Neurospora crassa OR74A: one gene and its partner. The protein of the gene in region 1 interacts with the protein of each later gene in a pairwise test. Links are inferred from orthologs where the notes say so. Each region holds a gene or a part of one and is shown on either strand. Other genes may lie near its edges.

Evidence for each region.
Region 2: the proteins of NCU06859 (region 1) and NCU02605 interact in a two-hybrid assay, tested with the Saccharomyces cerevisiae proteins (2 studies listed by BioGRID). The link is inferred for Neurospora crassa OR74A from reciprocal best matches to the Saccharomyces cerevisiae genes RBA50 and RPB10.

The regions. Positions count from the first base shown.
Region 1 is NC_026507.1:529,644-534,896, forward strand, and holds NCU06859 (hypothetical protein), read left to right. Parts: upstream 1-2,030; 5' UTR 2,031-2,266; coding exon 2,267-3,736; 3' UTR 3,737-4,184; downstream 4,185-5,253. Other genes in the region: NCU06860 (MFS multidrug transporter), read right to left, coding at 5,159-5,253. UniProt on the Saccharomyces cerevisiae protein: Forms an interface between the RNA polymerase II enzyme and chaperone/scaffolding proteins, suggesting that it is required to connect RNA polymerase II to regulators of protein complex formation.
Region 2 is NC_026501.1:2,875,560-2,879,895, forward strand, and holds NCU02605 (DNA-directed RNA polymerase I/II/III subunit 10), read left to right. Parts: upstream 1-1,957; 5' UTR 1,958-2,054; coding exon 2,055-2,090; intron 2,091-2,161; coding exon 2,162-2,223; intron 2,224-2,286; coding exon 2,287-2,373; intron 2,374-2,426; coding exon 2,427-2,496; 3' UTR 2,497-3,305; downstream 3,306-4,336. Other genes in the region: NCU02604 (hypothetical protein), read right to left, coding at 1-420, 475-1,268, 1,319-1,680. UniProt on the Saccharomyces cerevisiae protein: DNA-dependent RNA polymerases catalyze the transcription of DNA into RNA using the four ribonucleoside triphosphates as substrates.

The DNA.
Region 1 (5,253 bases):
GGGAACGATTAATTATTTTGCAGCAGCGCCCAGCAGCTGGCCGGGCAGGTTAAAATGCAATGGGCATCGGCTCGCTCGCTCCCAATTGCATGCAAATGAACAACAAGTCAAGACAAGCCAAAGGGAAAACCGGGGCCCCGACAATACCAAACGCAGTGGCCTGGATAGACTCGCTTTTTGGGCCATCAGGGCAAGGCAAGCCAAGGCGAATCAGAAACATTGCTTTGGGTGAGGTGTGTGAGGTGGCCATCCATGCCTCTCTCTCTCTCTCTCTCTATGTCAGACCTCATGACGGCAGTACCTAGGCAGGCCGGAAGAACCCAAAGAAGCACTGCAGAAACAACGACATTTGGGTGGGGGGGTTTGGAGGAAAAGGCAAAATGGAGGCACAGACTCCAAGTGCTGCTACTTATCACTTATGCCAAGCAGTTAGTAGCAGCAGACATCGATCCATGTGCGGGTGGTGGCTTGTGAGAGAGGGAAACGGGAAAATACAAGAAGCGAGTGCGAGCGATAGACAGGAATAAAAGGAAAATGCCAAGAGATGCTAGCATTTTGGACCAATGGGAATGGCAGAAAGGGCAGATGGAGAAACAAGGTTACACTCCCACGGCCCATCAATGGACGGCCGACTGGACTGCAACACCTCGCAGGGGCCACAGGGCTTCTTTTTGGGGTTCTTGGGAAAAAGTGACCTCCGCTGTGAGTGACTGGACCCGATCCGTTTGGGGTTCAAGTCGGGTTGGAGGTGATGCATGACTCCACACGGCGCGCACCGCTGCACGGCTGACTAACCGGGCGACCATGGGAAGAATAGGAGATGTCGATTCAACTTTAAAACTAGCGAGGTAATGAAAGTGAACCTTGCCTCATAGATAAGTTGCCCGCAGAGCTAAAGTGTTTTGAATTGTAAACTGCCGGTTTGATGTCAGGTTGACTTTTGGGAATTCACCCGTTGAGCGAGGAAACTGAAGCCGAGACTCAAAAAGAGGACAACACAGTACGAACCAGACGAGGGTCCCCCGTGCTCGCCGTGCTAGCGCAATGAACAAGATGCGATAAGAAGCGGAAGACACACGGGCCACCTCCAAGATCTCAGACCCCTTGTCAGGTACGAGCGCTCGTACCGGTACGTACCGTGATTCCAGATTCTCTGGATGGATGCTGCGCGACATTTGGAGCCGCGCTTGTGCGACCCACTTGGCTAGCGACACAATAACCGCGACGAAACTGAACTGAACTCTGCAGTGCAGTGGCCATTCCAAATTTCAGTTGCCGGTACGTCACACTCGTCAATGCGGCTGGTTTCGGCTGGTCAGCCACACGAACGTACCTTTGGAGTGAAAATGATGTCGTCGCGGCTACGATTTCCATTGTTGGAAGAACTTGAATTCATAGTGTAGCCTGGGGCCGGGGAAAGGCACACTCTGCTTGCAGTGGTAATACGTACCTAGGTATGAAATTACAGCACCAGATTGCGATTCCGAATTACGCTCTTTCTGCGTGCGTACTGCAGCCGGTGTGTTGATAGGCCCTGGCCGCATTATCTTGGTGTAACGTCGAATGACAAGATCTCAAGACACCCACTCACGCTCAGTACATAGGTAGGTATGTAACGCAACCACCAACCCGGCAAACACAAAGCACACGGCCGCCAAGATGCCATCAAGTGACTGACTGACAAAGAGGAAATCGACATGAGCTCACTTGGCATAGTCGACGAGAATGTCGGAAACAAGCTCATCTCATGCTGATCTCTTCCCTTGGAGACCATCGGACCAGCGGCCACAATCCATGTGCATGTTGGTATTCCGGAATACGAAACGCGAAACAGACGACGAAAACGGGGCCAAATGAAACCCCAAGCCGCGCACGGTACGGTAATGCACTGTAAATACTAGCATGAATACTGTGTACTCCCCGTGTCTTGGATCGCCGCTAATGCAGTGCTGGCTTACATAGTAGGTCGTTAAAGCCGCCGGGATCCGCCGCTGACAATTCTTTTCGTTCGGCAGGCAACTTGAAGGGAAGGAAGCCCCTCGTTGCATTTCTTTGAACTTTATGCCGGATGACCGAATCTGTATCAAAGAGAATCCACGGCTCCATCCACGGCTTTCTTTGAGCGCCGCATACATTATCCCCCATTATTCGCCATCACCATCATCATCACCATCAACCAAACAGTCCAACTCGTTCAACTCTGATTGACAAACGCCGATAACAAAGATACAAAACGACCGCGACACATCATAACGGCCTCAACACAATGGACGGCACTCTCGAAATCCTCGATGTCAAGGAACGCAAAGTGGGCGAGGTCAAGCCTCCCGCGTTCCCAACGCCGCCGCCTGCTTCCTCCGGAGGCTTTCCCGCTCCCAAGAAACGAGTGTCTGCCTTCAAAAAGCAGCGACAGCAACAAGCAGACCCATCGTCCTCGTCATCCCAAGCGACCACACCAGTACCATCACCAGCCATCCAGTTCACCAGCGGCGCGAGGCCCCAGATCGACGCGGACCCTATCAAATCCGAAAAGCAGAGGATTGACGAGGAGAACAACAAGCTCCTGAGCTCCATGTCGCCAGAAGAGATTGCCGAAGCCCAACGAGAGCTCTTCAGTGGCCTTGACCCCAAGCTTATCCAGATGCTTCTCCGACGAGCCAACGTCGAGGACGGCTCCAACAACAACGACCCCAAAGTCTGGGACATTCCCGAGAAACCGGCCGACGAGGAGCCAACGGAAAAGAGGGCCGACGTCGGCAGCGGTCCCACCATCTCCTACAAGAAGCCACCCTCCATCCAGACCTCGAGCTCGAAAAACGCATACGTACAAGACGAAGATGAGGAAATGACCGAAGACCAACCCAAGAAACCCAAAAAGACCGTCACCTTCAACGAAGACCTCGCCCCCGAACAGCCTCCCTCCGGCAGCTTCCCCATCCGATCCAAACAGCCACCCACGCCCTACCCCCAAAAGACCAGCTTCTCCGCCGAAGACCTTGCCATGCCCACCGCCGGCGGCTCCTCCTCCGAACCCCAAACTCCCACCACAACGCACCAATGCAACGACCCCTCCCACAACCACGGCGACGACGAAGAGCTCAAAGGCGTACACTTCCCCGCCGCCCCCGCCCCTCCCGACCTCGACCCTTCAGACCCCGACTTCCTCGCCACCCTGCACCAAAAGTTCTTCCCTTCGCTTCCCGCCGACCCCTCCAAGCTCGCCTGGATGGCGCCCATCCCCACCGAAGACTCGCCCGCCGACCAGGAATCCCCTTACTACCCGGGCCAGACCTCGCTGCCCGTCTCGGCGCTCCGCTTCGACTTCAAGGGGCGACTCATCCCGCCCCGTCTGTCGCGCCAGATTCCCGTGTCCAAGGGCCTGCATCACCACGGCGAGGCGCCCGAGGCAGCCGGGTACACGATCCCCGAGCTGGCGAGGCTGGCGAGGAGTAGTGTGAATAGTCAGAGGTGCATTGCGTTTAGGACGCTGGGGAGGATGCTGTATCGTCTGGGAAAGGGGGAGTGGGGAACGGGTGCGGGCGGTAGGGATGGTGATGAGGATGATTTGGCGTTTGCGCTGTGGAGGTGTTTTCAGGAGGGAAGGGTGTTGGAGAGTATCGGGGAGGCGGCGGATGTGGAGGAGGGGGTGGGCAGTGTGAGTGTGAGGGCGTATGCTATTGAGGCCATGTGGTTGTTTGAGAAGGGTGGGTGGAAGGAGAAGTGGAGAGGTTTGTGAGCGGGGTTGGATGAAAACGAAAAAAAAGAGAATATGGATAAGAGTCGTGGAAAACTTGTGCCTTGTAGTATAGTAGGAAATGGGTATGGGATGGGATGGGACACCGACCGACTGACCGGCTGGCCGGTAAGGGATAGGGTAAAATGGAAATGGATCGATGGGGGCGGATCACTGATTTTTTTTGGTTGGTGTTATTTTCCAGGTTTCATACCCCTCTGGTGGTGTCAAATTGCAATTTTTCATACTCATCAAGTGGCCTAACATTGTACACAAAATAAATTGTCTCCTTTGGTCGGGTCGGTTGCAGCTTACCTCGCCTATGAAGCTCGGGGTCTCTTCCTGCATACCCGCACTTAGTATATCCCATGCAGAAGAACTTCATTTCTTTCACTGTACATTATTCCTACAACACAATTTTCCACCGAATAACTAGTCTATATCACATCGATCCTTAGATTCTAGACATGCTGAATCACGATTTAGGTTCACTTTCCTATTTATATCTTCAGTGGCTACCTACTCCCTAGAAACCCCAACCCTCTAGAAAGGGAGTCCATACTTCAGTTGTTGAGAATTCAGACGGGCTATGATCAACCTGACAGAGGTATCTGATGTATCCGACCAACTCATGATATTTAATTTCTTCCTTCCGTTACTTCACTCTCACTTTCACTCCAAGTACTCTAGACTACTTATTCCTCTTCCTACAGTGTCCTACTTCCGTATGTCACATACTTCAATCATATTTCCACTATACGACCAGGCCAAGCAAGACTTGTTGTACTTGACATTACTATATATGCCTCCTTGCCTAGGAGGGAGTCTAATCATGACAAAGATATCTGTTTCGTATCTCTGATTAGATTGGGTACCTTGGAAGTCACCGAGTTGCAAGTTTGATCTTTGTTGAATCCTGGGGAGTACTGTAGCCTAAGTGATCTCCTTTCTAAGGGAGGCGTTTGCACTCTCACGAACGTTAGGCTAGTTACTTCTTAGGTTAGAGAGAAGATAGGTAGAGAAGACATAAAGGGTCTATGTACTGGAAGGCGCGAAAGAACAGATAGTGAGTTACGTACTGTAAGTAGAGGAATCTTCTAATATCCGCAACGTTTCGTCTCATTTTGTCTCAGTTGATGTCCTTGCATCGGGCCCGGCCCGGGTTGAGGTGGTCCCCGATGGTGGATAAGTGATTAGTACTTGAGACTGGACGAAATAGAGGAACGGAAGATGGGATTGCCGGGCCTCCGGGGATATTTGACATCACATATCAATATCACTGTTACATAAGCATCGAGCCACACCTGTTTTAAGTTTGATCACTTTTCATTTCATTATCACGCTCATCACTTATTACCTCTAACTTTCTACCCAAATCATGCCCATTCTTTCTTCCACTCATACATCGAAACTAGATATCCAACATCAAACAACCTCATCACCCATCTTTTTCGCTTTCTTCTCTCCCAACACCCCCGATGTTGTCAAAGCAAAAGGCACAACCACCTCCTCCCCACTAA
Region 2 (4,336 bases), on another chromosome or scaffold:
AGGAGACGTCGAAAACTTGGATAAGTGGTGTGGACGGTGCATTTCCTGTCGAGCTGGCCTGCTGCCCATTGCCGACGCAGAGGAATATTTGTGAAGGGTTGGTAGGGTTACTGGTAGTGATCAAGGGTGTTGAGATTTCGTCGACAGATCTCCAGACACGGCGCACCAGAGACTCCTTCGATGGCTTGTCGCTGAGAACCAAAGACTGAATGCCGGAAACGTAGGTCGTGGGCTTCATCTCAGCGGTCGAGAGCACCATGGCAGAATTGTCGTCGAGGTGGAGAGCGTAGGATGATCCCTTGGGGGAAACGACGATGTTTTCAATAGTTGCTGAAAGGTGAGGCAAGAACTCCCTCTTGCCGGTATCCAACTGCCACAAAACGAGTACGGTTTCGGCACCGCCGGATATCAGATAGTTACCTGTCAAATTGTCAGCACTTTGTCGTCTCCCAGAGACAGTTCACCAGTTCTTACCATCTTCAGACCACTTGACGCTGTGGACGGCCCTGCGGTGCCAATGTAGCTTGCGGGGCTGAATAGGACCCCCCTTGGTCGCGCTGCCGGGTAGTTTCGAGAGAAGGTCACCATAAACGTAGATGGCACCGCGAGCGCAACCGATGACGAGATCAACGAACTGGATTTCTGTGCCACCCTTCTTAGTTGTTTGGAGAGTCGGGCGAATGTCGAGGCAAGTAACCAAATCCGGCACGCCGAAAGAGTGGAACGCGTATTCGAGGTCATCAACCGCCTTGACGGTCTTTCCCTTGGACTTCAAAGTGCCGATGTGTAGCGTCTCCTTCGCGGCAGCAACAATGAGTCTGCCACCAGCAGCGGAACGAAGCAATTGCGGGTTCTCGTCGTATGTGTGGATAAGCTTGCCGGTCTTCTTACGGAGGGCCTTGAGGTCGTAGGCCACGATTTGCGCCGAGGACTTGGTCAACTTCTGGAGAATAAACAGGACATCTTCTTGCTTGTCGCGGATATCAACCGATTCGACGGTCATGTCGAGGACTTTCTTGACGTCAATCGTGAAGGGTGTTTCGGCGCCTTCACCTGTCGCCCAGTTAAGGTGCCAGATGCGGCCATCTGAGCATGCAACCCAGAGGAATTCGGGTGCGCTGGCGGATAGCGCAGACGCAACGATGTGGGGAGAAGAAAGTTCGGCGCCGCTGTCGAGCTTGGTGATGGGAAGGGAGATCCTCCTGACGAGCAGGGAATCCTCGGTGGAATAGACTTGAATTGATGTGTTGTAGGTGATAAGGAGGTATCTAAGTCGCATTAGTAGAGCCCCTGCCTGGGGGACTGGTCTCAAACGAACCGTTCATCCAAGGAAAATATGGGATCGATGTCGAGCATGCGGCCGCCCATAGGATTCGATACCTTCCATGCCGATGTGTTGCGCGTCGTCAAGGTATTCGAAGCATCCGTAAGTTCCAAATCGCCATTGGTCGTTTGCAAGTCTTTGTTCTCGAAAAGGGTGCTTTCTTGGGAGTCGGTAGTATCGTCAACATTGCCATTGGCGGCAGCAGGCTGGGTCTTTGGTTTCGATCGTTGCCTTTTTTGCGAAGCGGTCGTCTCTTCCTTGGGCTCTCTCTTTCTCTTCTTGAGCGAGGCAGTTTCACCATTCGCATCCATCTTGGGCGCCTTCGAGGTCTTGCGAGGAGTGCGTAGCTCCACCATCTTGTCCTTTGAGTATATGACGATGCAAGTCTGGCAAGGAACACACGATTTGTCGTACCGAGCTTCATGTCCGCCTCATCCTCCCAGCAGAAGAAATTTTGGCGGAGTACCCTTCGAAAAGTTAATGTGGGGCAGCTTTCTTATCGGTGATAAGGCTGAAGTGACCAATCAGACCCTAGAAAGTCAAATTTGCTGGGGCCTTCCGACCTCACAGGTAAAGTTGCCGCCTCGCCCTTCAAAGTTCATGCTGAAACTTGCACCGTCACTACGACCAATCTTGCACCACCATCTTGCCAGAAGCCGGTCGCTCATCTGCCGCGAACATCGCCATCCCGCCAAACACTTTTTTGTAGGCTTTCGACTCGCTAACAAAAATGATCATTCCAATCCGATGCTTTTCGTGCGGCAAGGTACGCGACGCGACGCGCCCCGCTTCCTCCGCCATTTACCCGTTAACAAGGTTACTGACTTTGGCACATAGGTGGTGGGTGATCTCTGGGAGAGATACCTGCAGCTGATCGATGGCGAGGAGATCACCGATGGGTATGCGACATCTACAAACGACTTTCGATTTACAAATAACAACAACTGACAGACGATGATTAGTGATGCTCTGGATCAGCTCGGCCTCAAGCGCTACTGCTGCCGTCGCATGGTCATGACCCACGTCGACCTCATCGAGAAGCTTCTCAAGTACGTTCTTGTGGACTCGCCGCGCTGGACCTTGGTGGCTGACTACGCTCTAGGTATACTCCCGATGGTCGCAACGTCAAGAAGATCGAGATGCAGACACGCAATGAGGAACAGGGGATGTAATATGCCCGAGCGGTCGAAGAATTCATCATCAACTATTCGGGAAAGCCGACCACTCTATCGTCCGGGAAGAGAAAACTGCATGATCATTAGGCGTTTGGGAGTATTAAGACAACTGTACCGGGCAGGGTATAGAAGCGGCCCTGGTCTCGCATCCAGGAGGCCGAAAGCAAGAGCTTGATTTGGTTGTGCTTTTCTTTGGGTTAGAACCTGTGGCGTCAAGGTGCATTTGGGACAACTGTTTCTGGTGTAAGTTCTGTTGGCGGTTAGGTCTACCGGAGCAACATGGCCAGACACAACAGGCTACCTTTTCGGTTTGCAACTACAGTTGAGAGGTTGTGGTACCACGGAGAGCCATTGTCTTTAGCCGGAACGTGGTACTTGCTCCGTGTGGCTAGATGTGTCATAACCAACCACATCTGGTTATCTACATTGGCGACTTACAAGCCGTCATGCTCGCCTGCGTGGTTTCCAACTCCTCGGGTTCGGATGTCTTTTGGGAATGGTGGAAAAGTCTACCGCTTCGGCTGGGCTGGACCGATCGAATACGAAGCGACGCTCGGATTGGATGGTCCTTACAATTTGTGGGGGCATCAAGCCAGTGCAAGGGATGATGGCGCTGGTGAACAAGAGACATTCGCAAAAGGTAGCACGGCCTTCTAAATCACACGTCTCAGTTTATAACATGGGTACAGACTGGGGTAGCCTACGCTATTCGCTCAGATGAGTATGCTGAACGTCATATCTTTCAAAAGTATTTCAAATTCAGCGCCCGGTCAACTCTCTCTTTATGAAGAATTATTCATCTGTGTAGCTTCCACATCCGAATTCCTGATAATTGGTTCACCCATGCCCGTGTCCAGTGACTCGAACTGTATGTATGTGGCAGCGAAGTGAGCGTTGGCCCTGTTCCTAGGCCCGGTTTGGACGCCACTCGGTCAGAGATGCTTTTGCGTTGCTCATCGGTAGCAAATATACTTCCGAAAAATGAGCTTTCGGATTGTCACAAACTTGAACGTTGTCTTTACCGATATGGACCTACCCTCCCACCAGCCGTAGACTTGCATCGCCGGTCAGTCTACGACTTACCTGTTCCCTCAACCATTCATGTCCGTACAAGTGATGGCACGTAAGTTCTCATTTCCAAGACGGTGTAGGAAAGAATGAAGTTCATACTCAAGTGATCTTACCATATCTGTGTAGTAGCCACTTTGCTTCAATATCTCTAGTCTCCTTTGGTTCGTCTCCCCATCCAGTCTTCCATATCTTTTAGCTGATCACCGCCGGATCAGTGTCGTTGGGTCTCGAATCCATCCCAGCAAGTGTTCAATATCAACCGGCGCCCCCAAACGTTGGGCAAGTTAAATTGGCGTAGTGGCTTCTTCCTCGTCTTGATGTAGGTGCAGGTAAGATCCAGTTACCTTTGGAAAAGCAAAGCATTATTCCTTCACTGATCAAGATGGGAGACTTCGGCACATCTAATGCTTGCACTCACCATCTCTCAAGCGTCTCTCCGAATTCATCACGATTTCTGGGGGTTGAGCTTTCCGCGCGGAACCATAAGACATTTTTTTTTTGAAGTCTCACAAACGCAGTCCGGAGTGCAAGTGGAGAGTTGTCTGCTTGTGAAATCCGGGGTGATCGCGCAAGGTCTACCAGGAATCGATGAACACCCTCTCTGATAGTGGAGATCTTGGCGCTTCGATGAGCCATGGGTTCCCCTGGTAAAAAGGGTTGGGTTGGGTCACACCGACCGCCAAGCAGCTAATTTGCGGATCCATCACAGGGTGATGAACTCTCTCTTCCAAAAGCCCGAACCGGCCCCTCAAGAATTGCTCCCTGT